5 linked regions of the Mus musculus genome follow. The protein of the gene in region 2 interacts with the protein of the main gene of each other region in a pairwise test. Links are inferred from orthologs where the notes say so. Each region holds a gene or a part of one and is shown on either strand. Other genes may lie near its edges.

The links.
Region 1: the proteins of Gabarapl1 (region 2) and Tax1bp1 interact in binary tests that used the Homo sapiens proteins (3 or more experiments, as listed by UniProt). The link is inferred for Mus musculus from reciprocal best matches to the Homo sapiens genes GABARAPL1 and TAX1BP1.
Region 3: the proteins of Gabarapl1 (region 2) and Scyl3 interact in binary tests that used the Homo sapiens proteins (3 or more experiments, as listed by UniProt). The two-hybrid records come from large-scale screens. The link is inferred for Mus musculus from reciprocal best matches to the Homo sapiens genes GABARAPL1 and SCYL3.
Region 4: the proteins of Gabarapl1 (region 2) and Atg4a interact in binary tests that used the Homo sapiens proteins (3 or more experiments, as listed by UniProt). The two-hybrid records come from large-scale screens. The link is inferred for Mus musculus from reciprocal best matches to the Homo sapiens genes GABARAPL1 and ATG4A.
Region 5: the proteins of Gabarapl1 (region 2) and Oprk1 interact in binary tests that used the Homo sapiens proteins (3 or more experiments, as listed by UniProt). The link is inferred for Mus musculus from reciprocal best matches to the Homo sapiens genes GABARAPL1 and OPRK1.

Annotation. Positions count from the first base shown.
Region 1 is NC_000072.6:52,740,360-52,746,139, forward strand, and holds part of Tax1bp1 (tax1-binding protein 1 homolog), read left to right. Parts: intron 1-1,591; coding exon 1,592-1,816; intron 1,817-2,332; coding exon 2,333-2,479; intron 2,480-3,862; coding exon 3,863-3,995; intron 3,996-5,780.
Region 2 is NC_000072.6:129,535,370-129,540,969, reverse strand, and holds part of Gabarapl1 (gamma-aminobutyric acid receptor-associated protein-like 1), read right to left. Parts: intron 3,480-5,600; coding exon 3,401-3,479; intron 2,401-3,400; coding exon 2,282-2,400; intron 1-2,281. UniProt on the Homo sapiens protein: Ubiquitin-like modifier that increases cell-surface expression of kappa-type opioid receptor through facilitating anterograde intracellular trafficking of the receptor. Involved in formation of autophagosomal vacuoles.
Region 3 is NC_000067.6:163,927,089-163,933,467, reverse strand, and holds the start of Scyl3 (protein-associating with the carboxyl-terminal domain of ezrin), read right to left. Parts: upstream 3,704-6,379; 5' UTR 3,282-3,703; intron 1-3,281. UniProt on the Homo sapiens protein: May play a role in regulating cell adhesion/migration complexes in migrating cells.
Region 4 is NC_000086.7:140,954,231-140,960,808, forward strand, and holds the start of Atg4a (cysteine protease ATG4A), read left to right. Parts: upstream 1-2,731; coding exon 2,732-2,741; intron 2,742-6,578. Other genes in the region: Psmd10 (26S proteasome non-ATPase regulatory subunit 10), read right to left, coding at 2,324-2,437. UniProt on the Homo sapiens protein: Cysteine protease that plays a key role in autophagy by mediating both proteolytic activation and delipidation of ATG8 family proteins.
Region 5 is NC_000067.6:5,586,422-5,592,764, forward strand, and holds the start of Oprk1 (kappa-type opioid receptor), read left to right. Parts: upstream 1-2,071; 5' UTR 2,072-2,242; intron 2,243-2,583; exon of another isoform or gene 2,584-2,613; 5' UTR 2,614-2,627; coding exon 2,628-2,884; intron 2,885-6,343. UniProt on the Homo sapiens protein: G-protein coupled opioid receptor that functions as a receptor for endogenous alpha-neoendorphins and dynorphins, but has low affinity for beta-endorphins.

The sequences.
Region 1 (5,780 bases), about 77 Mb from region 2:
TAAGTCTGCAGTTGCTTTTTAATCTAAAAGATCGCAAATGTGAAAAGTGTATTTGATTATATTTATTTGATTTGCTAAGATGCTAAAAATATCTTTAAGCATCTTTTTAGCATTTAACCAAGACCAGTGAAAAACATAATTTTTAATTACTGAGGAAAATGATTACTAGTTGCTAAAATGTTTTAGTAGATTGTAATGCAGTGTGAATTTATGGTTATAAAAGAATTTAAATAGTGATGAGGGTACAAACTGAAAGTTAACATCCTTTTTTGCTATAAGATTGTAAGATTGTAATTTAAAGTTACATGAATTATACATGTATATTTACATTTTAACTCAAATGAGAGAGAGAGAGAGAGAGAGAGAGAGAGAGAGAGAGAGAGAGATTGTAGAACCTTTTTCCTTTTGAGACAGGTTCTCATTATGCAACCCTAGCTGTCCAGAAACTTGGTATGTAGGTCAGGCAGGGCTCAAACTCAAGAGACTGCCTTCTTTCTGCCTTTTGAATGCTGGGATTAAAGATGTCCGGCTCCATGACTAGCTACAAGATACTACTAGGAATACACTTAATAGCTCTATTTCACTCATGATTATAGCTACATAGTATTCTTTCTTGTCATTCAGCATATGTGTAGTCAGTACTTAATAGTTTACTGTCTTCAGCTCTTCTGAGCATGCTCCAGTTAATACTCTTGTATAGCTCAAGTTACAATAGTCATGTGCCTAAATAAATTCCTTCAAATGGAGTTGGTAGGCTAAAATTTTATCATAAGGTAAGTGCCACCTTTTGATAGTTATTTTCAAATTGCCTTTTCAAAAAATACTGTATTAGGTTTTACTCCTAATGATGTACTATATGCTACTGTTTATAGTGGCTTCATAGCTTTTCATTATATATAGCATAGTTTAATTCAAGACAATTTCATTTTAGACACTTTAAAATCTATTTAAATCTATTTCAGTGTGTTTAAAAAATTAATTGAATTCTGAAAGACAAATCTTTGCCTATGCCATTTATAATTTTTTGAATGATTTTTGAAGTTAAAATTGCTAGATCAAGAGCCAAGAGTAATTTAAGGTGTTGGTGAGTCTTGAAAGGCGGCTGAGAAGCCCCAATTAGGGTTCATGTAATTGTGCTTAATAACTGTTTCTCTACTTTTTAAAAAATTAATTTTGCCAGGCATGGTGGTTGCACATCCTTTTAATCTCAACACTTGGAAGGCAGAGGCAGACAAGATCTTTTGTGAGTTTAGGTCTACATGGTGAGTTCCAGGACAGCTGGGGCCATGTGGAGCAAACCAGTCTCAAAACAAAAAATAATAAGTAAAAATAAAATAAATCAATCTATATGTTTGAACATTTGGGATATATATACTTTTATTCAGTCAGAACTAATCCTTGGGTGTGCTGACTGACTTCCTGTCCTATAAAGTGGTAGAAGTAAACACTTTTGGGCTGTTATATGAGAAATCTGAAACAAAGCCTAAGGCATGAGTGGAAAAGCATTATTTAACTTAAAATTCTGAAACAAACTGTTACCTTTAAATTTTAATGTTTTAATCAAAATTGTATATTATCTGCCTTTCTTCAGGAAGATACATTATTTTTAAAGGAGCAACTTCGCAAAGCGGAGGAACAAGTCCAGGCAACACGGCAAGAACTTATCTTTCTGACTAAAGAGCTCAGTGATGCAGTGAATGTGCGAGATAAAACTATGGCAGATCTGCATACTGCACGCTTAGAAAATGAGAGAGTGAAGAAGCAGCTAGCCGACACACTGGCAGAGCTGCAGCTACATGCTGTAAAGAAAGATCAGGTAAAGCAAGTTAACTTGCATCTCTGTTGATCCCCCAAAACTAGAAGCCCCATAAAAGAGAGGAATAAACTATTCAGATAAGTCAGGTAAGAAAGGCTAACTTCTATTCACTCTGTTAAATCATTGTCATTTCTTGGATTGAATAGAAAACATTTATACGCACAATTCTTACTGTCAGTAAAGGCTGTTGCAGTACACACTTTTGATGTATATTATATGTGACAGAGATTGCTTCATGTGGAACTTCTGTTTACTAGCTATATAGAATGGCCATCTGATTATTTAAGGGTATTGCATACAAGTTACGTAATTGCTCCTTAGGTGGATGCTTTTCCTCAGCTGTTAAGTAATCCTTAGACTCTCTACTATATATAAAAATCAGTAGAAAGCCCAAACTCCAAAACAAATTTAAATTAATTAAAGGTCAGAAAAAAATAATGGAAATGGAGTTAGGATTTCTTATTAAATTATGAACTATCGGAATTTTTTCCTTAGTTGAAATATTTTTTTCCTAAGGAAAAGACTGATACCCTGGAACATGAACTGAGAAGAGAAGTTGAAGATCTGAAACTCCGTCTTCAGATGGCTGCAGATCATTACAGAGAAAAGTTTAAGGAGTGCCAGAGGCTCCAAAAGCAAATAAACAAACTTTCAGACCAGGCAGTAAGTGTCACCGAGTTCCTGTCGGTGAACTTTTCCTTTGTCAGCCTTGCGTTTGCAGATAAGATGGATAATATTTTAAGTATTAACCTTTTGAATACAAATTATCACTTCATTTTTTTCTAAACACAAATCTTATTTTGTACTACGTTGCTTATGTAGGTATATGTGGGTGTTGGGGGTGGTATGTGAAGGTCAGAGGACAGTTTGTAGGAGTTTATCATCTCCTGGTTACACTCTCTGGGTCTCAGGAATAGAGGATGGAACTCAGGATGTCGTCAAGTTTGATTGCAAGTGCTTTTACATGCTGAGCCATCCTGCTGGCCCGAGTTTATCATCTCGATTTCAAGTCATTGGCCTAATACTATAACGACAATCCTCTTTCTGTTTAAACTTGAGATTTGTATTTACTGAGAATGAATAAAGGGAAGGAAGCTAGGTCAGCAGCAAGAACAAGCAGGAACAGGTACTCTTGTCTTCAGGGCGTTGCTCTCATAAGCCCTTGATAAGTAGCTTTGTCGATTAAACTCAATATGTCGTAGTAAATGTCACTTGTGGCAAAGGTGACAGCTCTCACTCTTTTCTCAGTACTCTTCCGTTCTGCTCATGCCACATTAGGAAGAGGCAAAATGTGTTGGCTTACTCATTTATATTTCATGTAGGAGTAGGTAGATTCATAATAAAACAGACATTTCATTTGGATGGGCCTATGTATTATGTACAGTCCCAAATTGTACTTATTATATGAGGGGATCTTGGAAGTGAAGTATAAAGAAAACATTGAAAATGTGGGGTTGCGTGGTCCCACAGTTTTAGGTTCTCAGGAACAAATAGGAGCAAGGAGTGCATGCAGGATAGTAAAGTGGAAAGGGTTCTGTGAAGAAATATGATTCACATGGGGATTTTTATTTGTGGCTTTTTTTTTTAGCACATTTTAAAAAAATGTAAGATTTTGCCTGCATTACATGTGTGCACCACATGTAGGTTTGGTGCTTGTATAGGTCAGAAAAGAGCATTGAATTCCCTAGGATTAGAGTTACAGATGGCTATAAACCACCATGTGGGTGCTAGGAATCAAACCTAGGTCCTGTGCACAAGCAGCACATGCTCTTACCTGCTGAGACCTCTCCAGACCTGCTGAGTACACTTCTGACTTGTGAGATTGTAAGATGTTTATGATGATGAGTTCTGCTGACTTCACAAGAAAAACACAGTTAATCTTCTTTCCTTTCCACCACTTAGGAAAATGATGTAGCTTTATTCCTTTTAGGTTTTCAGAGGGAGTAGTGTGGTTCACTTTTTTTGGTTATATACATGATTAGTAAAGGAAATCAATATGACTCGTTCAGCGACTTTTCCAGTAACTTACTGTTAACCTTTGAATAGGCGAGTACTAACAGTGTCTTCACAAAGAAAATGGGGAGTCAGCAGAAAGTGAACGATGCTTCAATAAATACAGACCCGGCTGCCTCTACTTCTGCTTCTGCCGTGGATGTAAAGCCAGCAGCGTCATGTGCAGGTAAAAATCTCCTTCTGTGTAGTGTGACCTTCTTGAAAACTGGACACTGATTTGATACTGCGTGCTTCCATGTGTGATAATTTCAGGCTGCTTCCATAAATTCTTGGGAGAGAGACTTGAGAGGCAAAGTGGGAATATGAGGGTATTAGTGTGAGATGGAGTTATGTATGTGGTGACCATGCAGAGTGTGAGTGAGTGTAAACTAGTACTTAGCTTCAGGAGAATAGTCACGTATTAAACATTAAATTGGTACTAGAAGTACTAATTTGAACCATATGGAACAGTGAAATGTAAGAATTCCTGACATTCAAAATTATGTTAAAATGTGACTGTAAATACAGACCAGAGAAGGTTCTTGGAACACAATGACAAAGGACAAATATAGAAAGTGATGAAGTTGAAAAATCTAGGTTTTTGCAGCACATTAACAACATCTAAACTGGAGGCTTATCTTGCACTTTAATTTTTTGTAACATTTAAAATATACATACATACATACATACATACATACATACATACATATATGCATGCACACACAATATATATAATGTTGTAGGGGGCAAATATCCTCTTCTAAATCCTTTGTTTTGCAGTGGGGTACATCTTTCATTAGTGTACCTGGAGACTGATGTTAATGTTAGTTGGTTCAATGTTTGACTACTTAAAATTGATTTAAGTATATCAAATGGGTAATGTCGTAATTTGAATTAACTGGATTTTTAATTTATGCTCTTCTCCCCTTCTTTTATGTAAAACAAGCAACAATAGGGAAAATAAGTGCAAGCTAACTATATTTCCATTTTTAGTGTGTGGTGTGACTGACAATTTAGTTTTAAAAAATGAGATTCCCTATGCAATTAAATATTGAATGAAGAGGAGCCTGTAGCATAGTCTGCAGCGTTCCCTTTACTTGTCCTCAGTGCAGATTGACGATTCTGACCCTGAAACATCTGGGGAAAGAAGTGCTTTCAGGTTTCAAGGGTTTCTCTACAAAGTGAATGTGTGCACAAACAGTTCATTGTTCCTATTGAGAGTTAAGAACCTGAAGCACCTCGCATTTGCATCTTTCCTACTTCACCCTGGCATTCCCAAAGCTTCCAAGTTAACGGTGCACTGTTGGGAGAATTTGAGTTTCAGAGTTGAGGATAATGACATTCAACCTGTAGTGCCTGCTGTGATCCTATAGTGTTGGTTTTGTGGAGACTTAGTGAAGGGTCACAAAGGGCTGGAGGAATGGACTCTTCTTAGGAGTATGCACCAGTTGCATAAGGGTGGCCGCTGGCAGGCTGCTTTGGAAATACTTTTAGTGCCTTTTTTTTTTTTTTTTTTTTTTTTTTTTTTTGATTCTCACGTTTGAATGTGAGATTTGTTCTGGTCAAAAATAACATTTAAAAATTCTCACATAGTGGTCAGATAGGTTCGTACATGCCTATAACCCTAGCAGTGGGTATGAATGAAAGCCATCCCAGGCTGTATAGGAAGACTGTCTCAAAAACAACAAACAAGACACACACACACACACACACACACACACACACACACACACACACAGAGAGAGAGAGAGAGAGGCAATGTGGGAGAGAACAACAAACATAAGCACTTATCAAGGTGCCTACGTTGGCCCTTGAGCCCTCTCTGTCCCTTCAACTTTTGATGCTCCCTGTCCTAGTCTTCTGAATATTGGGATTGTAGCCCAGTGTACTCCTAGACCTGACAACATTCCAGGTTTTGTTCCACAAAACACTCAAAAGTTTTTCTGCAAGAAGATAAAATAAAGAAAAAAAA
Region 2 (5,600 bases):
AGGACTTGGGGTGCAGCCCAGTGGTAGAACCTTGCCTCAAATGTGTGAAGCCCTGGGTTTACATTTTTAGCATCAGGAAAAAGGAAAACAAAGAACAACAAAAGGAATAAAGAATGTATCTCACCAACAGCAGAAAAATAACCAGAGTAAGCCTTACTCCTAGAAACAACCATTCTCCAGTCAACTTTAGCCACAGTGGTCTGCAGTGGCTACAGAACCTAATTGGTCAGGATTACTTAGTGCCTGGCCACACATGAGTCATCTAAATTGCCCCCACCAACACTCAAGGAAGAAGAATGAATGTCAGACTCTGAGGAAGGGCGCGGAGAGGTGTGGAATGCTGGCTTCTGGGCATGAGATGGCTGTTGTAATCCTGAACTCATAGGCAGCTTTGGTTGATTTGCAATGCACCGGCCCTCCGCAAAATTGGGCCTATCAACAACATCCCATCATGACAGGGAGCGGGTTTCTCAGGCCTCACCCCTTTCTGAGAATCTATACTTGATTGATAGTTGAGGGGGACAAGGAGTCATCTTCTATTGTAGAAAAGTGTCCATCCATGCTTCCGTAAACAAGCTGAGTGCTCTCCTTTAAATAACTGGGTTAACAAAGCAAGACTGAGAGGGGAAAGCGACAGGGTAAGATGTGGGGGTAAATCTGACTGAAATATGTTATGTACAAGTATGAGAACAAAAAAAAATAAGACCCATTTATATAATGAATATATGCTAATAAAAGACACTGGGAAAAAAAAGGCTGGGTGCAATGATGTACACCTGTAATCTTAGCATGTGAGAGGCTGAGGTAGGAACATTAAAGCTTGAGGTCAGCCTGGGCTACCTGGCAAATCCCAAGCCAGCCTGAGCTTCTTGTCAAGACTCTATCTCAGAGACCCAAAGTAAAACAAAACAAAAAAGATCTCCAAAGATGAACAGGAATGGATAAATGAATTAAATGTCAAAACATAATACAGCACACCGTGTGAGCTGTCGAGCCCTGCCTGGTAAGCCACCCAGTACCATCAGTAAAATTCTTGCAAGTTTTTGGCATGATTTCAGAGCTTTCACAAACAAAACATTGCGAAAATAATTCTTACCTTGAAAAAAAAATTACTCTTAGGCCGGGGGCTGGGAGACATGGGTCAGTGAGTAAAGGCTTGCCTTGCCGTACAGAGGCCCCGAGTTCAATTCCCAGAACCCAGATAAAAATGGCATGTGTGATGTTGTGTGCTTGTAACTCCAGCTCTGGGGAGGTCAGGAGGATCCCTGGGGCTCACCGGCCTGTCAGGCCAGCCTATCTGTGTGTTCTAAGCCAATAATGAAACCTTGTCTCAAGAGAGGCACACAGTGTTCTTGATGAAACACCCTGAAACTGTCCTTCGATGTCCACCTGTGTGCGCACATCCATGTACACTTGCAAGCACACACACACACACACACACACACACACACATTTAAAAAAAGGAAAAAAAAAAACTCCTCACTCTAGCAAGGAGAGCACAGAAACCACAAAGCATCTACTGGCATACATACTCACGGGAATATATGCTATGGAATAATAAGGGCTAGACCAGGGGTTACTAGATGTGCATCTGACTATTGGAGCACAATGGGAAGGCAGTATCATGTGTGACATCGTACAAGGAGTAGTACAGTCACAATCTTAGGTCACATTATTTGTATATGAAGTCCTCACTACAGTTTTTCCCAAATCAGATCCTAACTTGACACTTTAACTCATTCCCTGTACTCAGATAATGGAAACTCTTACGTGGCCTCCGGTTTGCTCTAGAAAGAGAGCTTCCAGATGTGCCTGTCCTAAGCCGAATCTTGGCCGTTTATGTGGGAGCTAACTGGGAAGACAGGGCTCCAGGTTCAGACGGAAAAGGAGCCAAGGGTTGCTGGTGTCTCTTTTCTCCATCTATTGCTAGATGTGGATGGCTGACAGGCAGGAAATGGAGTGCACAGTTCACTAACAAACTGTGCTTCCAGAGACAGTAACAGAAGGGTGAGCATGGTGATGCTTTGCTACCAAGAACCACTGGAACCGGCAATAAAGTACTACAGTCAGGAAAGACTAGAGAGAGATTTCAAAAGATTAAATCGAGTAGGTGCTCAGTCCCTAAAGGACAAAGGGTATCTAATCTCCCAGCGTCACAGTGCTGTGTGTAAGAGGATCCCCATAAATAACACCTCCTGCCCTACTTCCCAGGTGTTTAACAAACCCTGGAACCAGAGCGAAGGGACACCAGGCTGCTGGGTATTGTGATCAAGACCATTACCTCATACAGCTGGCCCATGGTAGCACTGGTGGGAGGGATGGTGTTGTTGACAAAGAAGAATAAGGCGTCCTCAGGTCTCAGGTGGATCCTCTTCCGGATTAAGAAGTAGAACTGGCCAACTACAGGAAGGAAACAGAGAGCAGGGTGAGAAATGAAAAAGGATTAGTAGGAGAAACCTCAGAAAACAAAATAAAATCTATTGTGTAAGTACAAGCTTTTCAGACCCAAAAGCTGTCCGAGAGCCTTAGTGGGAAAATAGAAAAGGAGGCATGTACAGTGTCTGACCCACCACACTGGGACTGTCCCCTCCCTTCTTCCTCATCCATCTTCAGACTCAATATTAGCAAATCTATCCAGCACGACTATTGTGGGGGAGTACAATGTAGATCCAAGCATTCCCATCTAAATGGACTCCTGATTCCTTTGGGGTCCCATTTGCACTCTAAGAGCTAACAATAGGAAGAGATCCACTGCACTCTGGCCCTCCCAGTACCATGGGGGCAAATGTTGGGACAATGAGCCCACGCAACTTCTTCCTGCAAACAATGAAGCTCTGGGAGGCTGACAGGCAAATGCGTGAACACTGCATCTAAAAGAATCTTTCCAGGGCATCCTGAAGGCACCTGGTACTTCTTTAAGAACAAGGTAAACTCTAAATACATATAATTCAAAACAGAAAGTAGGCTAGGTTTTGCAGTTTTCATCTCCCAGACAGAAGCACATTTAAAGATAAAGTATTTGGATATAAATCTCTGAAATGTGATCCTCCTTGGTGACAATACCCAAGACACGGCTGGAGCTGATATAAATCGATCCACCTCAGGATAGCATGGCTGATTTTTAAAGTGGTATAAATGACAAACTTTTGTTCTTTACTCCCAGAGTACTGCTTTCCTGTGTCTCCATGACTAGGGTACATGAGTATGGCATTGGGAAATATCAAACAGAACTAGAAACAGGAGGGCAGAGTATGCCTATCTGTACTGGCCAGCTCACTGAAGGAAACCATGCAAGGTCACCACCTACATGCAGTGACAACCCATATAGTCACCAACTTAGACTTAAAGATCAAGAATGCTTTGCCTGGAATGAAAGGTCAGAAGAGAGAAAGATGGTTACCAGTGAGGTCGGAGGGCACAAGGTACTTCCTCTTATCCAGATCAGGGACCCTGGCTTTAGGAGCCTTCTCCACGATGACCTAGAAGAACAGGAGACTGGGATGAAAACCAGACAGCCTAGCATTGTCTTTTTCCTTACATACCTGAAATTTGCCCATGCTGTCCAGTCTCATTTTTCAGTCCCCATTTCCAATACTCCTTGAGTTTAAACAACTACAAATTACCTATAAAGGGCTATAAAAGTCATTCACCCTACGGTATTTTATTAGAGAATTGAAGAGATGTTCTGTGTTTCTAAGATGTGTCTGATGACCTATTTATTTTTCCTCTAAAATACCATTTACAGACCCAGGAGAAGAAGCAGTCACAAAAGCGCTCTCTGTCAAAGTGTGAAGACTGAGTTCTGATCCCCAAACTCCATGTGAGTGCCCACTGGATGTGCAGTCCCCATGCTGGGAAGGCAGAAACTGGAGATCCCTGGGTCAAGCTGGCTGGCTGGAGTAACTAAAGGGGCAAGCTCTGGATTCACACTGAGTAATGTGAAGAGTAAGCAAGAATTGTGTGAGATACCAACATCTGGCCTCCACATACATACACGCAATCACACACATGCTCCCTCGCCTGTGTACACACTTACACAGAGGGGGAAATGCCATTTGTTACAAGCACAACATTATAATTTAGAACTTCACTGCCTTTCAAAGGCCGTTGTGTTAAAAAAAAAAAAAAAAAGTGCTCCTGCCTTGGTGCTATGAGCAAGTGGTAGAAACTTTAAGGGGTGGGGCATCATGGAGGTTTTAGGTGTTTGAGCCAGAGACTAATCCTCCCTCATCTGTGCCTCTATGCTTCTAACACGATAGTTTGACGCACCACCAGGCCAAAGACTGGGGCCATCTAAGAGCATGGACAAAGACTTCTGAAGTCAGTAGCTTTCTTTCCCTATAGAATTTGACCTTCTCAGACACTGCTACAGTGATGACTAACACACACACACACACATACACATACACACGCACGTAATGTGGTTCAGATTTCAATCTTTGCAGAAAAGTGTTCATTGCTGAGTGAAAGCTATTTTGAATTTTTATAATGAGGGACACTTTTTGAGAGTCACACACTAAGTTATTCAGCATTAGTAACCGTGTTAGAATTTTAAGGGACTTTCAATGTCGACATTAAGTTTTTTCATAACACTTTTAAAGATTCTGCATTTTGTAACAAAGAAAAAGACACAAAATCTTCGGTGATGTTTACAGAGTGGCTCAGAGAACAGAAAATATCTGACAAGAATATTAACATTAGATTCTTTGTTTTGAAAATCTCATCTTAGAGATAAGAAATGGGAAATACACAAAAGCAAAGAAGCAGAAACAACACTGGACAAGTATCCCTAGAAGCTGAGTGTCTGTCAGTGTGTTTCCGACCTTTTCGAGCTTCTTCATCAAGCCACATACCTGTCCACCCCCAGATACCATACAAACAAGTACAAGAAAATGCTTGGGTAGACAGACGTGAATCCAAAGCTTCAAGGGAAATAGAAAAGAACTTGAAAAGAAATAGACCAAAAAAGAGGAAGGAAAGAGGCAGGTTACAAACAGAGCACAGGAAACAGGGAGCCCTGGTATTCACCACAGGAACTCTTGAGTCCTGGAACTCCAACCAAAAGGAGAGGGGACTTGTTTTCTGCATCTGTCGCAGTGGCTCATACACCATAGGGATGTTTACAAATGTTTAAAAATAGTATGTCCTACAGTTCCTGCTGTTACAGGTCTCCAACACACGGTTATCTCAAGATCCCATGATCCCTTCTCCCAAGGCCCACGCACACCTCTTAAGAGGCCAAGCTTAAGTTGTGAGTCAGACTGCCTTAGAAACTTAGCGGCTTTCCTGTAAATACCTGAACATAGGAAGATTCGGCCCTGTGACCAAGGCAGGAGAACTCCTGTTATAATCCAGTCATGGAGAAGACACCAGGCAAAGGGTTCCAATTTTAGTGTTGCCCCCACTCCCACCCCCACACAAATCTCAGCAGGGTTCTATGTCACAACCAGATGAGAGGTTGAGAACCTCTCAGATTGGGAGGTACCATCTGGGTGTGAAATCCAGGGATCCATGAGATCTAAGCGAAGGTGTCTTGGCTTACAAATCATCACTGAAGTAAAACATTCAGCATCAAGTCACAAACAGGAGAATACAGAGAA
Region 3 (6,379 bases), on a different chromosome or scaffold from region 2:
GAAGAAAAGGAACTGAGACATTAAATCTCGATCTGCAATATTAGCCAGGCTGGCTAATCCAGGTTTCCTCAATGTGACCACTAACAGGTACCCACTCACTCCTGCAGTGCCCACAACTGCATCTGAGAGTACAAATGGGCAACGAGCAGCAAGTTATCAGGAATGCGTGTTACTTAACAGCTAACAACTTCAGAGAAACTGTATTTTACCAAACAGTCACGTGCAGTTCCTCCCCCAAACCCAATCGTACACAAATATCTATAAAGTTTATAAACTTCTTCAGTTAAAGGTAAGTAGCCTTTAGATAAATACAAACGCCATAATTATGACACAAATCTCTCAACTTTAATTTTCCTTGTACTTGGAAGAAAAGCCACAGATATAATCTATGTAATGCTGCTAAAATCCATGCCTATCACTGAGTTTAAAGTGTGTATAGATGCATACACGTTACTATCGAGAGAATGAGAAGATGTGAGGGCGAGAAGCTATAGAATACTGGCTTTTTCAAAATCTCGGAAGATTATCAAATGCACTGAGCTCAGTTTGTCTCTCAAGACCCACTGTGACAGGCCAAAATGCAGAGAACAGGAGACTGCGGCGTTCAGTCCCAACACACAGACCTGGAGCGCGATTTCTGCACTTGAGACTCTGGGATCAGCTTGCAAAAGCCAGAGGGACAGGACGTTTGTTGTGAGACTCTATTTCCTAGGAAAAGTAAGAGACTTTTCTTGTGCTAATAAAGTCAGAGATTCAGACCATCTTGTTAACACGGTCGCCTAAGTAAGACCCAAACAACAAGGACACCAATGGACAAGCTAACTTGAAAGAGTGAAATCTCACACAACCTCACTCATAGCCAAAGAACTACAGGGACCCAGGGAATGCTGAGAATCAGAGATGTTTTCCTCCAGAGGGAAGGGCTCCCAGCTGGTTAGTCAATACCATGTGCTCAACATTAAGATCACACTTGCTTGCTTGCTTGCACACACACACACAGAGCAAGATGTACTTCTGTATTTAGGAGCACACACACATGCAACAAGAAAAAGACGATGAATTTGAGAGAACAATGGCAAGGAGGATGCACGGGAAGGGCTGGAGGGATGACAGAGAAAGGGGGGAAAATGATATGATTAAGTTTAATTCCAAAAAAAAAAATCATATAAAAAAAGGAATGACAAGGACCAGCCATATTTTACTGGGACAAGAGAAAAGCAATGCATGCAGCCAGAGAAAGAAGCTCTGATCATGGATGCAGTGGTCCCTGGGCGGCGAGGGCCTTCTTCCTGCCTCCTGGCCAAAGAGCAGTCGAGTCACAGCCGGATCTTTAGTATCCACAACCAGAATGAAGGGGCGGACCACTGTCTCCTCTATGGATCTGATGTTTTTCTTTATCACTAGTAGCACATCTGAAGCTGGGGTCACCAGGAGGTGGAGCTGGGGCCCCATGGAAGCAAACACGTGGTAGGCACCAAGGAAGTGAGTGGTCAGTGAGATAATGGTAGGCACAAGCTGGGGGAATGGCTGCTTTATAGAGACACACAGGCATCCTCCATCTTGGCCCTGCCTAGTGCCTGCAGGACGAGCAGCTGGCTTCCAATCCAGTTTTTCCACTGCCTCACTGACTAAGCCTCTAGGTGCTTGCGGCTTCCCTGGTGTGGCTTGAGTGGGCCTACACTCCCTGAGACCAACGGACACTTCTACTCTGACCCCTGCTTCAAACACCAGTGAGAAGAGAGGTATGAGTTAGGGAAGGGTTCATTTGAAAAGTATGTGGACCTAGCCTGCATTTTTGGTTCACTACAAAATAAAAGTTTTCAAAATTAAACAATAAAGGAAAACCACAGCAGGTGAGTATCTTCTTGGCAGAAAAACCAGTTTAATTTCGTTAGTCCTGAAGGGATACTGCGGTCACTGAGATTCATGAGCCACGCTGGCAAAAGGCAGGGGCAATGGGCATTTAGCTTACTGATTTCCAATAGCAGGCCAAATCCTTGTTGGAATATTGGCCCTTAGATTATCTATTAACCCTAACTCAATGTTATAAATACGAACATAATACCTTTAGATTTGCAAAAATACTAGGAAGCTACCAAAACCAGTCATTTTTCACAGTGATAAGTCGCCTATGACCCTAAGGAAGAGCACCTTTAAAAAGGCAAGGCTCAGTTTCTACCGAAGCGAATAGGATGCCCTGTACAGAGCCCCGCGCCCAACACAGCAGGGAAAGGGCGCCGAGGACTGGATTTGAGAACACACAAGGCGGTCACTCTGGTTCTCCCCACGCCTGTATCTAAGAGGCAGGACCGCTGGCACCAGCAGTGTTTTACAACCCTCAGGACGGAGCTGAAAGGAGCTTATGGAAATGCAAGACATAAGGAACACTCCCAACTCCACGGATTTTTTCTTGGTTTGGGAAGTAAGAAGGGGACTATGAAATAGTGCCAGGTAGCTTTGAAAGTCACACGAAGGTAGAAAAGGATATTCTAATATGGCATTTTTACTGACTATACCACTTATACTTTCTATAATGAAACGTCGAGTTGACAGTCTAGGATGTGACTGTACACTTTAATCTATCTATGTCTTCCATCCTTCTCATTTCTTTGGCTTCAGGCGAAGCTTCTGAAGGGTTCCATTTGGTTTGGGAGCAGCACCTTGCCTAGGTATTCAACCACATACCACGTGTGCTCTGGGGGAAGTATGTCCCTTAGTTCTCCCGACAGTAGAGACTCTCTTCGGTTCTAGTTCCCTTCGCTTCAAAGAGCCAAAGGTTATGACTTGCCCGAGAGTCCTAAGGATATGTACTCGTTGGCACTTAGATACTGGGTGACAAATCTTACCAGCGGCCCTGTCTCGGCCACGTATGTTCCCTGTCAGGAACTCAACCGCATTGTGCTAGCTGACAAGCAAAACATGTAGTCTCTGTGGACTAAAAGTACTCCGAGGTGTGACATCAGCTCAGAGCACACACATGTCCCCCAACCCAGCAGCAGCAGCGATCCCAGAACTCAGCAAAAGCGACCTTGGGAGATGTTGTTGTCTTTTCTACACGTGAAGCCCGGGGGCTGAGTGTGGACGCTCGTCGGGGACCCTGCACCGCGCGGCCTTCCCGCTGGACTCCAGGCCCGGTCTCTCGGCCCTCCACCGGCCTCGGCCGGCGGGGCTCACCCGAGACGCCAGGCACAGGGGCACCCCGAACTCCCCGGGGCAGCGCTCAACCGGCCGCCCCGGCTCGCTTCCCGCCCCGCCGTCCAGGCCGCACGGCTCCCGGTTACCTGCGGGCGGCGGGAGGAGGCTGGCGGCTCCGCTCCCTCTTGGCCCGCGGCTGGCTCCGACGCTCAGACCCCGGCTCCTCCACCCACAGACACCCCCGAGGACCCGGCTCCGGCGGCTCTCCGAGGGCCCGGAAGCGGCTCAACAGCCGGGCCTTCAGTTCCTCCGACGCCACCACCGAGGCGCGAACCCGGAACCGAGCTAGAGCGGCCGCACAGGTGCTGCGAGGGCGCGGGCCCGGGTAGGTGTGGGCGCCAGGGGAGCCTGCGCCGCACGCCTGTTCCCGGCAGCCGGCTCTGGCGGCAGGGAAGCCTCTCTGCGTGTGTCTTCAGCCCGACTGCAGGGGCATCCCGGTTTTCATGTTTGGGTTTTTAACCAGCCGCTTTTGAGTTCATTTCCGCCCGAATCCAAAATGGCCACCTCTGGCTTCAGACAAGTAAGGGGGCGGGGAGGAGGAGGAGAGGAGTTTGGGGCTGAGCCAGAACTTTTCCGGTTGTGACTGCCCCCTCAGCATCCTGGCCACCAGGATTGGCCTGCTGTCAGAGAAGATATGTATGTATGTATGTATGTATGTATGTATGTATGTATGTATGTATGTATGTATGTATGTATTTAGTGAAGTCAGAAATCATGGCGATTAACGCTTGAGACTTAATTAAGGCTTAAGGTTTCAGATGGAAAACCTGGAATCATAATTCAGCGAAATAGTACAATTAGAAGGAATGTCACGCAAGACCGGAGAGGACCGGACAGGAGGGAAGAAAGTGAAGAGGAGAAAAGGGGAAGGGAGGAGAGGGGAAATAAGGATGGGGGGGGGGTGTGTGGGAAAGGAACGGAGGAAGAGAAGACTACACCTGTGATAGAATTACCAGCTCCAATATCCGCTGACTTCTTGTTCTCTTCGAAAGTTCACCTTCGTTACAATAACCGAAGACTAAATGATCAACCCATTTGCGTGTGGGAGGTCGCAGCCAGCCTCTGCCTTCCTGGTAAAGAATGTAGATAAAGTAACATCAGCTACCACGTCCTGTAAGGCAAGTCAGAATGAGACCAGGATTGTCTTGATCAATTTATTTTGTGCCTTTCTTTTCCTGGAGGAGTAGAATTGAGCCACTTCAACCAGGGCAAGAAATCCACTGGGAGGATGATGCATTCCTGACTCACATCTATGCTGTATCGTTCGCTCTGGGTGCTTGCTCGCATTCTCATCCATTCTTTGATCACTAATCCTAGTCCAGCTGTGGATGGGATCCTGGGTAGCATGTAGCCTGTTTTCTCAAACACGATGGTCACCTACTCCTCTAAAATTAACACTAGAAGACAGTTCCCTGCTGCATGTGTAAGACATGATTGGAAGGGACACACTCAATACTTCTACCATCTACTCACTTCATTTATCCTGGTGTCACTCAGGTTTCTAAATAAACCATCTCTTACATCTCTGCATTAAGATTCCAGATATTTTTGAGGCCACGGGTTAACTTACACATCTTACCCTCAATAGGGTATGTCAGTCATTCTGTCCAGCGGACATTTGATTCTGTAGGAAAAAGGACCAGTATTGTACAGGCACACACAGATTCAGTTACCCCGCCTGGAGTTGGGTGACAGGTGATATTGCTCAGGTGGCACATGGACACGGGCTGGAGATAAGTAAGCTCTGCCCCTGGCTTGCAGTTCACTGATTAAGCCAGGCTCTCTGTCCAGGGAGCCCCAGAATCCACCTGCCTTTGCTTCCCCAGTGCTGGGCTTCCAGGCATAAGAACTTGGATTCTAATGATCAGACTGAGGTTCCAAGCACCTTACTGACTGAGCCATCTCCTAATGCCCCTCCCCACAAGATTACAGATTATTTGCATATGAGCCTTTGTGAAGATTTTGGGCTCACTAGATTCTTATGCCTTTCAGCCTATTTGACCTATTTTGAAGTTACTCATTTTGGCAATGAAAATTCACTTTTTAACATCCTTAAAAACACCATTAATCTGCATTAGATATGGGAAGGGCATTATCTGTAGTATCTGTCTCTAAGTATGGGTTTCTGATTTAAATCCTCCCAATGCCAATCCAAGCGTGAAATGCTTCTTAGCCTCCAAGTGTACACCAATCACCTCAGAGTTTAAGTGAAGAGAAAATAATAGATGTGTTGAGTAGTCTAGGTCTTGTCAAATGGCCTCAGACCTTAGTACAACTGACCCCATGATGGAAGTACCATCCAGGCTGTAAAACTCAGCATGTAGGCAGCACCACGTGCCAAAACTAAAACAAAGGCCTAATCCACCAAAGTCCCTTGTTCTGGGAAAGTCTCTAAATGAACTAACCTTGCTTTTTAGCTTCTGTAGCTCTGCTTCTGGCTAACTGTTCTTGTTAACAGAACATGGTTTTTCTGCTTAAAAGCTCACCCTGAGAAAGGCTCAGGGCTGCATAGGCATCCTGAACATCCAGTGTAGTTGTTGGCTGTCTAAAAAAAACAAAAAAAACAAAAAAAAAAAAACAAACACCTTTCTGTTGGCTTAAACCCATGTCTGAGCAGTCTTTTTGGAGAATACTCCACAATATTTCTGGATACCTCAAAAGATCCCAGAGACCACACTTCAAGATACCGGGGTGGTGGGATGAGGAGGTGTCTCAGAGACCCTTGGATCAAGGAAGAGTTGGGCTGTCAAGGGGCCCCTAGGGGGACACAAGTGGAGATGCTCCAGCTTCCCAGAGCTGCCTTTGATCACTCACTGCCTAAGGTTTTGGAGGGGTCTCACACCTCTACCGGGAAAGGAAGCAGGTTGCCTTGGTCTATGACCTCCGGAGATAAGTCTGGTCATGGCACATTCTGTTTGGACACACAGGAGAGGTCGACATGTCTGCTGATCCAGTGTCCATGTGATTTGTGACTGGATCCTTTTGTCTGTTCAGGTATATAAATGTGGTGGCTACCCCTTGTTGTCTTTTCTGTCTTTGTCTGTCTGTCTGTCTGTCTGTCTGTCTGTCTCTCTCTCTCTTATGTGTCTTTGTGTGTCTGTGTCTACGTGTTTCTGTCAGTTCTATTTCTCTGTATTCACTAGTGGCTTTCTCTGGTGTAAGAACCTGTAACCCAGGCTTAAGA
Region 4 (6,578 bases), on a different chromosome or scaffold from region 2:
CACCAGTCTACATGGCGCCTACTATCCCCCATTTAACACATCAAGAAACTAAGACTACTTCACATAAGCAACTTATCCAGGGTCATGCAATTTACCCATGGTCTGGGCCTATGAAATCTCTATTACCACCAGACTTCAAGTGAGAGGCTCTACAGAGAACACGTGAATTTCTGTTTTGTTTCTGATCTTGCTATGTAGCCCACATTAGCTTGAAATTCTCAATGCTGTTCCTCCTATGTGCTAGTTTTACAGGCATATGCCACTATATGTGCTGAACACATGAAGGTTACAGTGAATGAAATGAGAAATGTTTATACAAATAGTTGAGAGTATTTTATAACACACCCCACAGAATCAGTGCAACAAAATTATTATTTTTTAAGTTAAGTATCATGATTCTTAAAGACAGTTCCTATTTGTGCCTATTGCTGTTCTTCTTAGTCCTGAGTAAATATAAAGTGATGGTTGTATGTATGTGTGTATTGTGTGTATGTGTATGAGTGTGAATGCGAGTGTATGAGAGTGTATGTATAAGAGTGTTTATACAGCCTTTAAATGACACTTAGGGAGGTGTCTCTTTGGGAGGAGATGCTGTTGGTACCCAGGAAAGGAGCCACAAGTGTCCACAGCCTTCCCTGTCAGTGTCCCCAGTCAGCCGTTCAACTTTATGAAAATTTCAAATACACATAAAATAGAGGAGATATGACAGCGATCACATGCCCTATTCCTTAGCCTTAACAACCAAAATCTTGCCATATTTACTTCTAGATTTTATTACTTGAATTTTCTTTTCAAACGTTTTATTTCCCTTTGAACTGTGTGCATGTGGATGGGTATGTGCGTGTGACCACATGGGCGTGGGGAGGCCAGATGCAATGAATCCCCCTGCAGCTGGAGTTACAGGAAGTTGGGAAAAAAGGAAGGTATGTGTTCCTAACCACTGGGCCACCTCTGCAGTCCTGCCGAGGTTTCTTTAAAACAGAATCCTAAAGGCCATGACTGTTCACCTCTAATTATTTCAGCACCTAAAAAATAAAATCACTTTTGTAAAACAAACAAGCACAAGATCATTATTGGACCTTTTAAAGTGACATTCCTTAACTCTTTGTCATGGTGGTAATGCAAACCTTCCAGAACTTGGGAGGCTGGACAGGAGGATCTTCATTGGAAGGACAGCCTGGATTACATAGGGAGATCATATCTTAAATAACAACAAAAAATTTACATAAAGTAAAAAAAATTATCCCACTTAAAACCAATAGTCTCCTATAAGCCCATTTCCAGGTGGTTTACATCTGGATGCAAATAAAGTCTATAAATTAATTGCATTTGGTTGTTGTATTTAACTTCTTAATCCTGATTAGCAGTCTCTTTTATGTCACTGACTCCTTATTTTTAGTGGATTAAGTCTTAATACACGTTATTAAATTTAAACCACATCACCAGACCATCACAAAAGCAAACGCGGTGAACATAGGGGAATTCTACTGTTGAGTAATAAAGGAAAATTCCAGGACAAAAAAAAGCAGTCTCTCCGATTTCTCTTCTAAAAGAGACAACATGGAAGTTCTGAAGTATGATGTACTGTCTTACTAATGTTTAACACTTGCCTCTCAACACAGAAGGCAACCTATGATTTGGAAAGTCACAATAAAAACCTGAGACTTAGTTGATCTGAACAGAAATACTTCCCAATGTCCATTCTCTTTTGTTTGCCACAGTTCACTCGCCCCACATGGAACCCCATTCTTTCTTCACAGTGTAAATCACCTCCCCTTCTATACAAAGCCCTTCCCAACTATTCCTATCATGTCTTCTCCTTCTATGTTCTGAAATGATGTAAACTTCTTTCTGGGGGATTTAAAATATGTAATAAGACATGTACCGTTATTTCATTTATGCCTGTTTTTTTCCGACTTGACTGAAATTCCCAGCTCCTCTCAAACTTCCTGACATACACACAAAGGGCATTTGGTTACTCGTGGGCCACTGACTGGGATTACAACTAAAGAAAAATCCACCTAACAAGCTTTTTTCACAGATCTCCATCGCGCTGTCTCTTAACTCTGGAAATTTCTGAGAAAAGCGGTGGGTGTTCTAGAAATATATGAAATTCAGCAAGCTTAGCTTCCCCTCCCCACCCTGTCCCAAAGTCTCTGAGGGGTTACAGTTGGACCAGGAGTCGTGTTTTAACCCAAGGCTACTAGAGGGAGGAGTGGGCGGGAGGAGCGCAGAAGTGGCCTCACACCAAGTTAGGACCCGGAAGCCATGTAGGGCTTCGTTGACACCCGCTGCTAGGCGACAAGCCCTCGGGCTGGTTTACCTGATCAGTTCTAGTAGCCAGAGATTTATCAGCCAAAATGCGCTCCTTCAACTCATCCAGCTTCCCACTGTAGGCCAGGTTACAGATCATTATGTTAGACACACACCCCTCCATTTCGCCTTCCCAAGACCTCCGTGAAACTCAAGCCCCGCCCACTCGCATTTCCTGTTCCGGCGACCAATCAAAGTACTAGAAATTCTCCAATCACTGATCTTTGTTTTCCTTGTAGCCCCGCCCATAGCCTGGAGCTTCTGGGAGTTGCAGTTTGAAAGCAGATCCAGGCCTGGAGGCGTCTTTGGAAGTCACTCAGTTCCGGGTCCTAGCAAAGTGGAACTACAAGTCCCAGAATCCTTAGAGAAAGCCGTAGTCAAGTTGCCGGTGGAATTGGCCCAGGATGACAGCTGGAGAATGGAGTCAGGTAATGGGAGCGGCTTCTGGTAGTACTGTGTGAAAAAGCTAGGGTGGGTGGTCTTTGGTGGGCCAGTAAGTTGGCCACATGAAATGAAAACTGTAGCAGCGCAAGAGAGTTCTGGGATCCTACAGATCTTGTCCCTCGGGGCCCTCACTTGCAGTGGCAGGCGGAAGGGACAGAGTTGGAGCAGAGTACTACCTCTGAGCTTGAACCATTGACTGTAGCTACCCTCCCCCTCCCTACCACTGTTTAAGGAGTGGAAAGAAGCACAGGCTAGTTACTCTGGCATTTCTCCGGAGTGGCATCAGAGTAAGGCTCTGCTACAACACAGGTTATACATTACACCATACAGAGGTGATGTGCCAGAATGATGCTAAAGACAGGGTGTGATGCCATAGGAGCCACTAGATACCTAAGAGACCTCAGTGAGTAACAGCGGTCACCTTAGGGATATCAGGGTATATGATGTTGTCACTTTAATAACATGGTAATGGCAATTACCATCGAGACTTTGCTAGATTGCTAAGCTAACAATGTGGATTTTTTTTTAAAGGTGAATTTCCAAATAGTGCTGCAGCAGAAGAGATGCAAGGCTTATCTTTTATAGAAAATATCAAAAAAGACATTAGAAAAATGTTAAAGATATATTTTTTAAAGTGACTGATGAAGTTTGTCTCCTTTGTTATGGTATAGAACAGGGCTTAGCAAACTTTTTATATAACGCCAGATCATAGTTATTTTAAGCTTTGCAGGACAGATGATAAAACCAACTCGAGAACACAAGTTATGACAAATGTTAATTGATGAAATTCGGGATATAATAATAGTGGAGTATGTGTTTATATAATGCTTTTAGCTTTTTAAAATTTTGTGTGAGTGTGTTTTCTGCCTGCATGTGTGTCTGTACACCGTGTGAATGTTGGATCCTCTGAGATCTGAGTTAGACAGTGTGAGTTGCCATGTGTGTACTGAGAATTGAACTCAGGTCTTCTGGAAGAGCAACCAGTGCTCTTAAACCCTGAGCCATCTTTCCAGACCCCAGTGAAATTTATTTTTAACACAGAAATACTAAGAGAACGGAATTCTTTGAGGGAAGTACTGTTTGCTTAGCTGATGTTTAAAGTTGCTATTTTCTATCATTAAAATTTATTCCAAATGTTCTTTTTAATCTTTAGAAAACTCTTTGAAAATATGTTTTCATGCAGTAAGTTATGTCCAAATATTGATAATCCAGGAACATATTCTTTTAAATACTAATTATTTTATTGCATCTTATTGATTGTGTGTGACCTGATTCAGCTTCTAAGAGTGTTGGTTTCTCTCCTCTCCTCTCCTCTCCTTTCCTCTTCTCTCTTCTCCCTCCCTCCCTCCCTCCCTCCTTCCCTCCCTCCGTGTGTGTGTGTGTGTGTGTGTGTGTGTGTGTGTGTGTACACTTACATACATGATGCCTGGCATGAGTGTGGAAGTCAGAGAACACTATTGGGAGTTGATTCTCTCCTTCAAGCATGTTGGGCCTGGGGATTTACCACAGGACATTGGGCTTACTTATGGAACCATCTGGAAAGCCATAAATTCTGATTTTGATTTAAATCAATGTAATAATTTTTCCATAAAGGTTTTAGATTTATAGAAAAATTGCAAAGTCCAGTGCAGTGACTCACACCTTTAACCCTAGTTCTTGGGAAGCAGAGGCAGCAGATCTTTGAGTTTGAGGCCAGCCTGGTCTACACAGCAAGTTCTAGGAGAGCCAGGGGTACATCTAGCAAGCCCCTGTTTCAAAACAAATGTTCCAAAGATAGTACAGAATTCCCACATATTTTCTACCCAGTTTCACATTTTCTCCCTATGTTAACAATTTGATTGTGATAACTTACATACCATAAAATTCAACTGGGGCTAGGGATGCCCAGTAGTAGAGCATTTGCCTCACATGCACAAGGCCTTACGTTCAATCCTCAGCACCAAAACAAAACTAAGTTAAGCTAAACTAAACTTAACTAAATAAAATACACCTGTTTAGATATGTAATTGGTTATTAGTAAATTTTCAGGTTTATGTGACTATCACAACAAATCAGTTATAGAATGTTTTGACCTTCAAGTAAGACCTCATGCCCATTTACTGTTAATCTTTATCTCCTGCCCAGGCAGCCGCTAATATATTCCTTGTCTATATAAAATTGCCTATTCTGAACATTATACTTAATTGAAATAATGTAATATGTGGTCTTTTGAGTCTGGTTTCTTTCACTCACCCTAATAGTTTTGAGACTTAACCATAGTCTTGTGCATGTAAGTACTTACTTTTGTTGCCTAATAATATTACACTTTATGGTAATACATTTTTGGTTATCTGCTCACCAACTGATAGAAATTTAGTATTTTTTCTAGTTGTTGGCTATTATGACTAATGCTGCTTATAACATTGATGTAAACATCTTTATGTGAACATTTGTTTTCTTCTTTTGTTGTAGTTACCTGAAAGTGGAATTCCTGGGTAATAGGATAATTTATGTTTAATAGTTTAAGAAATTACAAAACTTTTTTCCAAAGCAGAAGAAGCAGTCTTGTGTATGAGGCTTCTCATTGCAACCCATCCTCCTGCACATTTGTTAGCGACTGTGCTTTTCTTGTTATTTTATTTTAGGATCTTTGTATAAGGTCTAGGATGGCTTTAAACTCACAAGCCTCCTGCTTCAGCCTCCCAAATGCTGGAATTTTTGGTGTATGTCTTGCCTTTGACAATTATAGCCATTTAAATTGGTATGAAATAATATAGTATAATTTCATCGTTTCTTTCCATAAGGAGTGGCTGGGTGTAGCAAACATGTTTTATGTGCTTGTAAGCTGTTGGTGTATCTTTTATACCCAAGGACCTGCTTCTGTGGTTTTTTGTTTTTTCATTTTAAAATTGGGTTGTTGTTTAGTTGATGAGTTGTAACAACTATTTCCATAGTCTAAATCCAAGTCCGTCAGGTATATAATGTACAAATACTCCCAGGCATAGTCTGTCTTCCGCCCTTTTGCTTTGTTTTATTTTCCTTTGTGTTATTCCAGTTGTTGAGACGTGTTCCCACTATGTATCCCAAGCTAGTCTCAGACTTGCAATTGTCCTGCTTCTGCCTCCCAAGTGGCTATTACAGGGTGGGCCACAGTGCTCAGCTTTTTTGTTGTCATGGTGGTATGTGTTTTGAAGGGGATGGTTTTGATTTTTTTTTTCCAAGACAAGGTATCATTCTGTAGTCCAGCCTGGTCTATAATTCACTGTGTAGCCCAGGCTTGGAATTCCCTTGCTTCAAGCTCCCACACATTACTATTCCTGGAGTCAGTCACTAGGCCTCACTCACATTGTGATATTTGATGAATTCAAATTTATTCTTTTTCCTCTTTTGTGTGTGTGTGTGTTGTACCTAGCTAAGACTGTAATATGTAAGATTTCAATGATTTTTTTTCCTCATGTTTTCCTCTGGAAATTTTGTTTTCTCTTTTGCATTCATTTCGAGTTAGCGAAGATCAATTCTTTTCACATGTGCCAGCAGCATTAGTTGAGTTGCCATTTTAATGCACTCTTCCATGGTGATCACAATGAATAAGTACACACTGGTCTATTTTAATTGACTGTTCGCCCACACTTTGTTCCAGGTTCATTAATTTACCTGTGGGCAGTGTCCCATCCAAGACAGTGTGAATCACATAGTATTCCTGTCTCTTTAGAAGCCTTTGGCTTGTGACAGTTTCTCAGATTTTATTTGTCTTGCTGATCTTGGTAGTTTTGAAATGCACTTGTTAGGGACGTTGTAGTTTTTAAAAGGTCTGTTTTTCTTATGATCAGACCAGTGTACAA
Region 5 (6,343 bases), on a different chromosome or scaffold from region 2:
CCTATGAGCCCAGTTAGTTGATCCAGTAGGCTTTGTTCTTATGGTATTCTTGAACCCTCTGGCTCCTACTATCCTTCCTCCCCTTCCCATAGGTTCCCTAAACTCTGCCTAAAATTTGGATGAAGCCTCTCTGATGATGATTATGTTAGGCTCCTGTCTATAGCAGAATATCATTAGGAATAATTTCTTTCACTTTTTTTTTGTCAGTTATGTTTTGCTCTATCTTGTGTCTCTGGCCTATCCAGCCTCTAGTTCCTGGCCCTCCAGGCAGTGTCAAGTGTGGACTCCCTCTGTGGCATGGGTCTCAAGATGGACTAGTCATTTATTGGCTACTCCCACAATTTCTATGTGACCTTCACCATACCCCATCTTGTATGCAGGACAAACTGTATGTTTTTGGCTGAGTTGGTGTTCAGTCCTTCCATTGGAAGTCTTACCTGATTACAGAAGATGGCTGGTTTAGGCTTTGTATTCCTCATTACTCATAGTCCTCATTAGGGTCACCCTAGTAGATTTCAGGGAGTTTCCATTGCATTAAGTTTTTACATTGCCCCAAAATGTCTCACAATTCCAGTCATCTTTCCAGAACTTTCTCCCTCCATTCCTCCCTCCACCATACCTGATCCCATCTGTTCCCATCCAACCTTCACCCAGTACACCCTCAAAATCTATTCTATTTTCTCTTTCCAGGAAGATCCATGCATCCTTTCGTAAGTCCTTCTTATCATTTAGCCTCCTTGGATGTGTGGATTGTAGCATGATTATCCTTTATGGCTAATATCCAATAATAAATGCATACATACCATGTTGTTCCTTCTGGGTCCCTACAGGCCATTTATAAAGAAGCACTTTCTGAGTTGAGATCCTTTCTTCCAAGATATGACTATGTTTGTGTCATATTGACAAAAACCAACCACACTCTTTGCAATGAAAATTTGCAAGACTTGAAAATGGTCCTCAGAGCTGGGAGTTGAAAACACTGTTGCCAAAGGAGAATGTTCGTCTTGCTTTATATGCAGCAGAGTAAAAAAAATTGTACATCTGTAAACTGTGCAGGCAGATGGCCAAATCTCCTTCAGTTAGTAAGCAGCAGAAGTTCAAGGAGCCCCCCTCCTATCATCATCGCATGAATAGACTTGAGTCTGCCACTAAAATGCCCACCTGTGGACATGATGTACATTATGGGAAACAATGGGGATCTGGTTTATCTAAGTCCTTGAAACTCCTGGGAAAATTCGAGTGTCTCACCCTTGGGTGGTTCCAGTTCCACAGCACTTCTTTTTCTTTTGGAATATTTCTTAGGGACCCAGCTCTGGATCCCCAAGAGCATCTTTCTCTTAGGGCCTCTTTTACCCAACAGATTCTGACAGGGACACCTGGACTGTCAATATTTTACACATAGTTGAGACTGTTTCTCACAAAGGTTTGAATTATCTGCATTTGGTATAGGCAAGAACTTCATGGCTGAGATTAACATAAATAATTACTCTCCTGCTGCAACAGCAGAGCCTAGGAAAGGAGAATGTGTGCAGTAATAGCAGGCAATAATATTAGTACCTGTAAGTACAGTGTTCTTGCAACCTGCCATTCTAGACAGAGCAGAAAGGGTGACAAGATGCACAGTAGCTTTCCATTAATAGATCTTAACCCACTAATTCTATATGATCTGTTTGATTCTGACAAGATTATTTGGCCATTTTATTTGTATCCTTCAATAAATAAAATTCAGTGCTACCACTTGCTTCCTTGCTTAAAGACACTAGTCCTGGGAACTCTGAAGAAAAGAAATTCCAAACACACGGAATGATCCCATGCACTCTTGTCACTGTACAGGGCCCTTTCAGTTACTGGACCTTAGCTAAGCATCAGACCGCCCGCCAGGAAGCTGCAGAGAGAGAAGCGGCAAGCAGCTTGGGCAGTTGGAGTTAGTGAGCCTTGGCAGAGCGGCAGACTGGCCTGGGTCAGCTCTGAGGGGGCGTGGCTTGGAGAGGAGGGGATGGGCGGGGATAGGCTGAGATGGGGAGCAGGGCGGGGGCAACCAGCCCTGCAGCTCTCAGCTTGCCTGTCCCCGGCGCACCTTGCTGATCCCAAACAGGCAGAGCTTCTTCCAGTCTTGGAAGGCACAAATTGAGCATCAGGAACGTGGACCCATCAGGGCTGAACAGCTACTCAGGATCTAAAGTGGTGACTTGGAAAGCTGACGGTGACTTGGGAAGGGAGGTCGCCAATCAGCGATCTGGAGGTGAGCTTGGGGCTTTCGAGGCACAGTGGGGAAATTGCTGTGGCTAGTGCTTCTTGGGGTTGCATGCACAGACAGGCAGGGTAGAGGCAGCCACAGGAGTGGACAGCACAACGCCCGAGGGTGAAGCAACCTCAGGGCTCCAAAAAGGTGCAAATACTCTCAGTTTAATAGCTGCAGTGGAGGTAGGGGTAGGGGGTGGGAAGGGGATTTCAACCTGTCTGCTCCTTCCTTGGGATGGGCGGCCAGACTGAGTCCTGGGGTTGCGGGCTCCTGCGCCTCCAGCCCTGCCTGTACAGGCAAAGTTTGTCTCTCTGGGTTCAATCTGTTCTCTGCTCCTGCAGCCCCGCAAGTGCCACCTTCTCGCTTTCCAGCTGCAGCGCTCACCATGGAGTCCCCCATTCAGATCTTCCGAGGAGATCCAGGCCCTACCTGCTCTCCCAGTGCTTGCCTTCTCCCCAACAGCAGCTCTTGGTTCCCCAACTGGGCAGAATCCGACAGTAATGGCAGTGTGGGCTCAGAGGATCAGCAGCTGGAGTCCGCGCACATCTCTCCGGCCATCCCTGTTATCATCACCGCTGTCTACTCTGTGGTATTTGTGGTGGGCTTAGTGGGCAATTCTCTGGTCATGTTTGTCATCATCCGGTGAGTTCAGGGACAGGTCTCGGTGGTGGTGGTGGTGGTGGTGGTGGTGGTGTGTTGACAGTAGACAATTTGTGTGTGTGTGTGTGTGTGTGTGTATACCAGACAGCCAAGTGAGTGCAGGGTCTCTTCTATTCAGGGTTCCTGAGAGATTCTCCAAGGTGACATCTTAAAAGAATTTCCTGGGAGAGTGTTTTGTCAGGAATTGTGGGTTTCATACAGGGCTAATCCAAGGTACTTTTAGGATTTAAGAGCTACCTGCCCACATCAAAAGGGAGGCTACAAACCTCAGCTAAGAGAACACGCAAGAAAATGCCAGGGTTCTGATCACAAGGTCGTTTCCTGGTAAAGAAATTAGAATATCTGTGTAAGCCCTTGCTTGTTTGCCTGCTCTGGATTGAGTCACTTTATTGCCCTGTCTAATATTTCTTTAAATAAATTCTGGGCCCACCAAATGCATGGGAGATAATTCAGATTTGTGTGTGTGTGTGTGTGTGTGTGTGTGTGTGTGTGTGTGTGTGTGTGTGTGTGTGACTTGTTAGACTGATGGTGCAGCTTATGAAACGAAAACCAACTAGGCTATTTAGTGTTGTGAATATCCACTAGCATGACTTTGAAGTGCCCAGGATTAAGCTCAATGAGTATGCTAAGCAAGCACTCAAACTAGATGGTGTGGCTGTCTCAGAAGGCATGTGGTACCCCAACTGGACATTCTGCAATAACATTGCTCCTTCCATGTCAAATCTTTCATCCCCTCCTCAAAGTCCCCATAATCTCTGCACTAGATGTTCTGTCCTTGTCTTTCAAAGTCTCATAGGTATCAATTTAGCATCTTTTTATATATTACAAATCATTGCAGAAGAGCATAAAGAAGGCTGGGGCTGCTGCAACTTTATGCTGGGCTTTGAATGAAGCAATATGGTCTCACCTTTCTGCATCCTGTCTTGGAATAATATTAACATTTCCTTTTACTCAAGCATAGCAAAAGCAACCTCAGAAATTAAAAGCCTATCGTTCTCTCTCCATGTATTTTGTACATGTTTGAGAATGTCTTAAAAGAGAGTTAGTTTCATGGTAGCTGCTTATGCGGATTAACTAAGATTATTTTCTTTCAGTGGAGTATGTGATCCCAATGAAGTGTGAAGTCTGCACAGCCATTTTAGGACATAAACTAAAATCGATAGAAATATAAAGAGGTTGGTGGATAGGATATCAGTCAACTAGCTGGGTGGTGGTATAATAGGATTGTAATCCCAGCTAGTTCGCAGATGGAAGCAGAAGAAATGTGAGCCTGTTTAGACAACTTAGTGAACGCAAAATAAATTTCAAAATAAAAGCTAAAAGCACAGAGCTGGAGGAAATGCCTCAGTGTTTGAACACTTACTGAGCACACATGGGGCTCTAGCATCATAGAAAAGGAAAACAAAACTGTGCTCTTTATATTTGAACAGATCACAGACAAAGCCTTCACAGTTGTTTCTCTGCTCCCTTGATTTTACATACTTTCCTGGCATCTATCTCAGAGCTAGTTTGAGGAGTTTGTTTCTTACTGGGAGGAAGAATTTTTCTATGTTAGCTATTACACTGTATTCTGAGTGGCAATATCTTCCTGAGAACTGTGCAAGTGGCACCTCCTTCACCCCAGCTTGACTTCTGGATGCAGGCCTCAAGGGTTGCCCCTGGAGGCTCCAAACTCAGCTACAAATCTAAAATTCTGTGGCTGTAAGACTGCTGTCATTCTAAGATAGATTAGATTTCAGTGGGGCAGTTAGTACAGGCTTAGAACTGTATCAAGGCCTTTGAAGATAACAGTTACTTGTTCCTCACCTTCTATTTAAAGACTGTGCTGGCTTATGTTTTAGAGAAAGAAAACTTACATTAGAAAAATAGATGATGGTGGTCATTGTTTTTGAGACAGTCTAAGTAAATTTCCCAAGCTGTACTCAAACTCACAATCCTCTTACTTTAGCCTACCATGTAGTAGGATTACAGACCTGTGCTACCATATCTCATAAAAAAAAAAAAAAAAAAAAAAAAAGAAAGGAAAAAAAAAGGAATTTAGGAACCAGGTTAATGCTGCAAAAACACATGTGGGTAACTGTTTATTTGTTTGATTAACACTTATTATCCAAACTGGACAACTGAGTCAGAATTTACATGAAAGATTTAAATCTTTGCTATGTCCACTCTTCAGATTTCTATATGAAGTCAGAGAAATAATTTTAAATATTTGTATGCCTTTTGTTACCCTGATGGTAATGCCCTGCTGAATGTATTGGAATTTGTTCTTAGGGCTCATTGCCACATGGCAATATCAAGAGGAAGGGATGACATGTTCTAAGGTATTGATTACTCCAGTGAAATTGTTTCTTAGGCATTCCCGGTCTCCCTTGGGCACAGTTCTGCAGGGATAGCCTGCCCAGGGCCAGGAGTAATGTTTGTCTTGGGTTGTTGCTGAACATGGCTAACTGTGTGGCAACTGAAGGACAAAGCTTGTGCTCCTGTTCCATCCTCTTATGGGGCTGGCTCTCTGCATAGGCCAGGGCACTGGAAACATCCTGGCTCCAATGGCAATCAGGTAGTACAGACCACTGCAGACTGACAGAATGTGAAAGGCAGCTCAGAATCAAGAACCTCACTTCCTTTGCTTTACAGAAATGAAGAAACTACTGCCTTTTAGTAAGCAACTATGATTTCAATATCAAATAATCCAGAAGAATGTTTAGCAAATTAATTTGATTTATATGAACTGAAGGTATCTAGAGAATTTAATGAAACAAACTCATTACATTTTCAAATCATTCAACTGAAAAGTCATATTGGGAAAATCTTCATTCCTGATCATTTCATTTTTTATTTAACATCTTTAAAAGGGAATTTTCTAAAATAATAGTTGAGTTCACAGAAAAAAAATGAATAAAAGGTATAAATCCTCCACACCCCTGCCCTTTGCATGTATTATCCCTCCATAAGTCTCCTGCCCCAGGCAGAATCAGGTAACTGGCAAACCTCAGCTGACTCAGGACTGTCATCCACACTGCACAGTTACCACTGGAGTTGTTCAACCCTATCACGTCCCACTGAAGACTAATTGACAAATAAAAATAACTTATGCTGAAGGTGTGTGTAGGTCATTTGTGCTATGAGTTCATTATAAAATGTCTACTGCAATCATATGTGTTGAAGACTTATGTGTGAAATGGTGAGATGTTTAAAAGGTATGGTTTAATGCAAGGAATCGAGGGCATTGGGTGCATGCCCTTGAAGGAGATATTAGGGGTGTGCAGCCATGACATCTCTCTCTCTCTCTCTCTCTCTCTCTCTCTCTCTCTCTCTCTCTCTCTCTCTCTCTCTCTCTCTCTCTCTTGCCCATTGCAGCCTGAGGTAAACAGACCTTCTCTACCATGGTATATTGAGCCATCACAGTATACTCCCAACAAACAGGCCAACAGTAGACTGAAT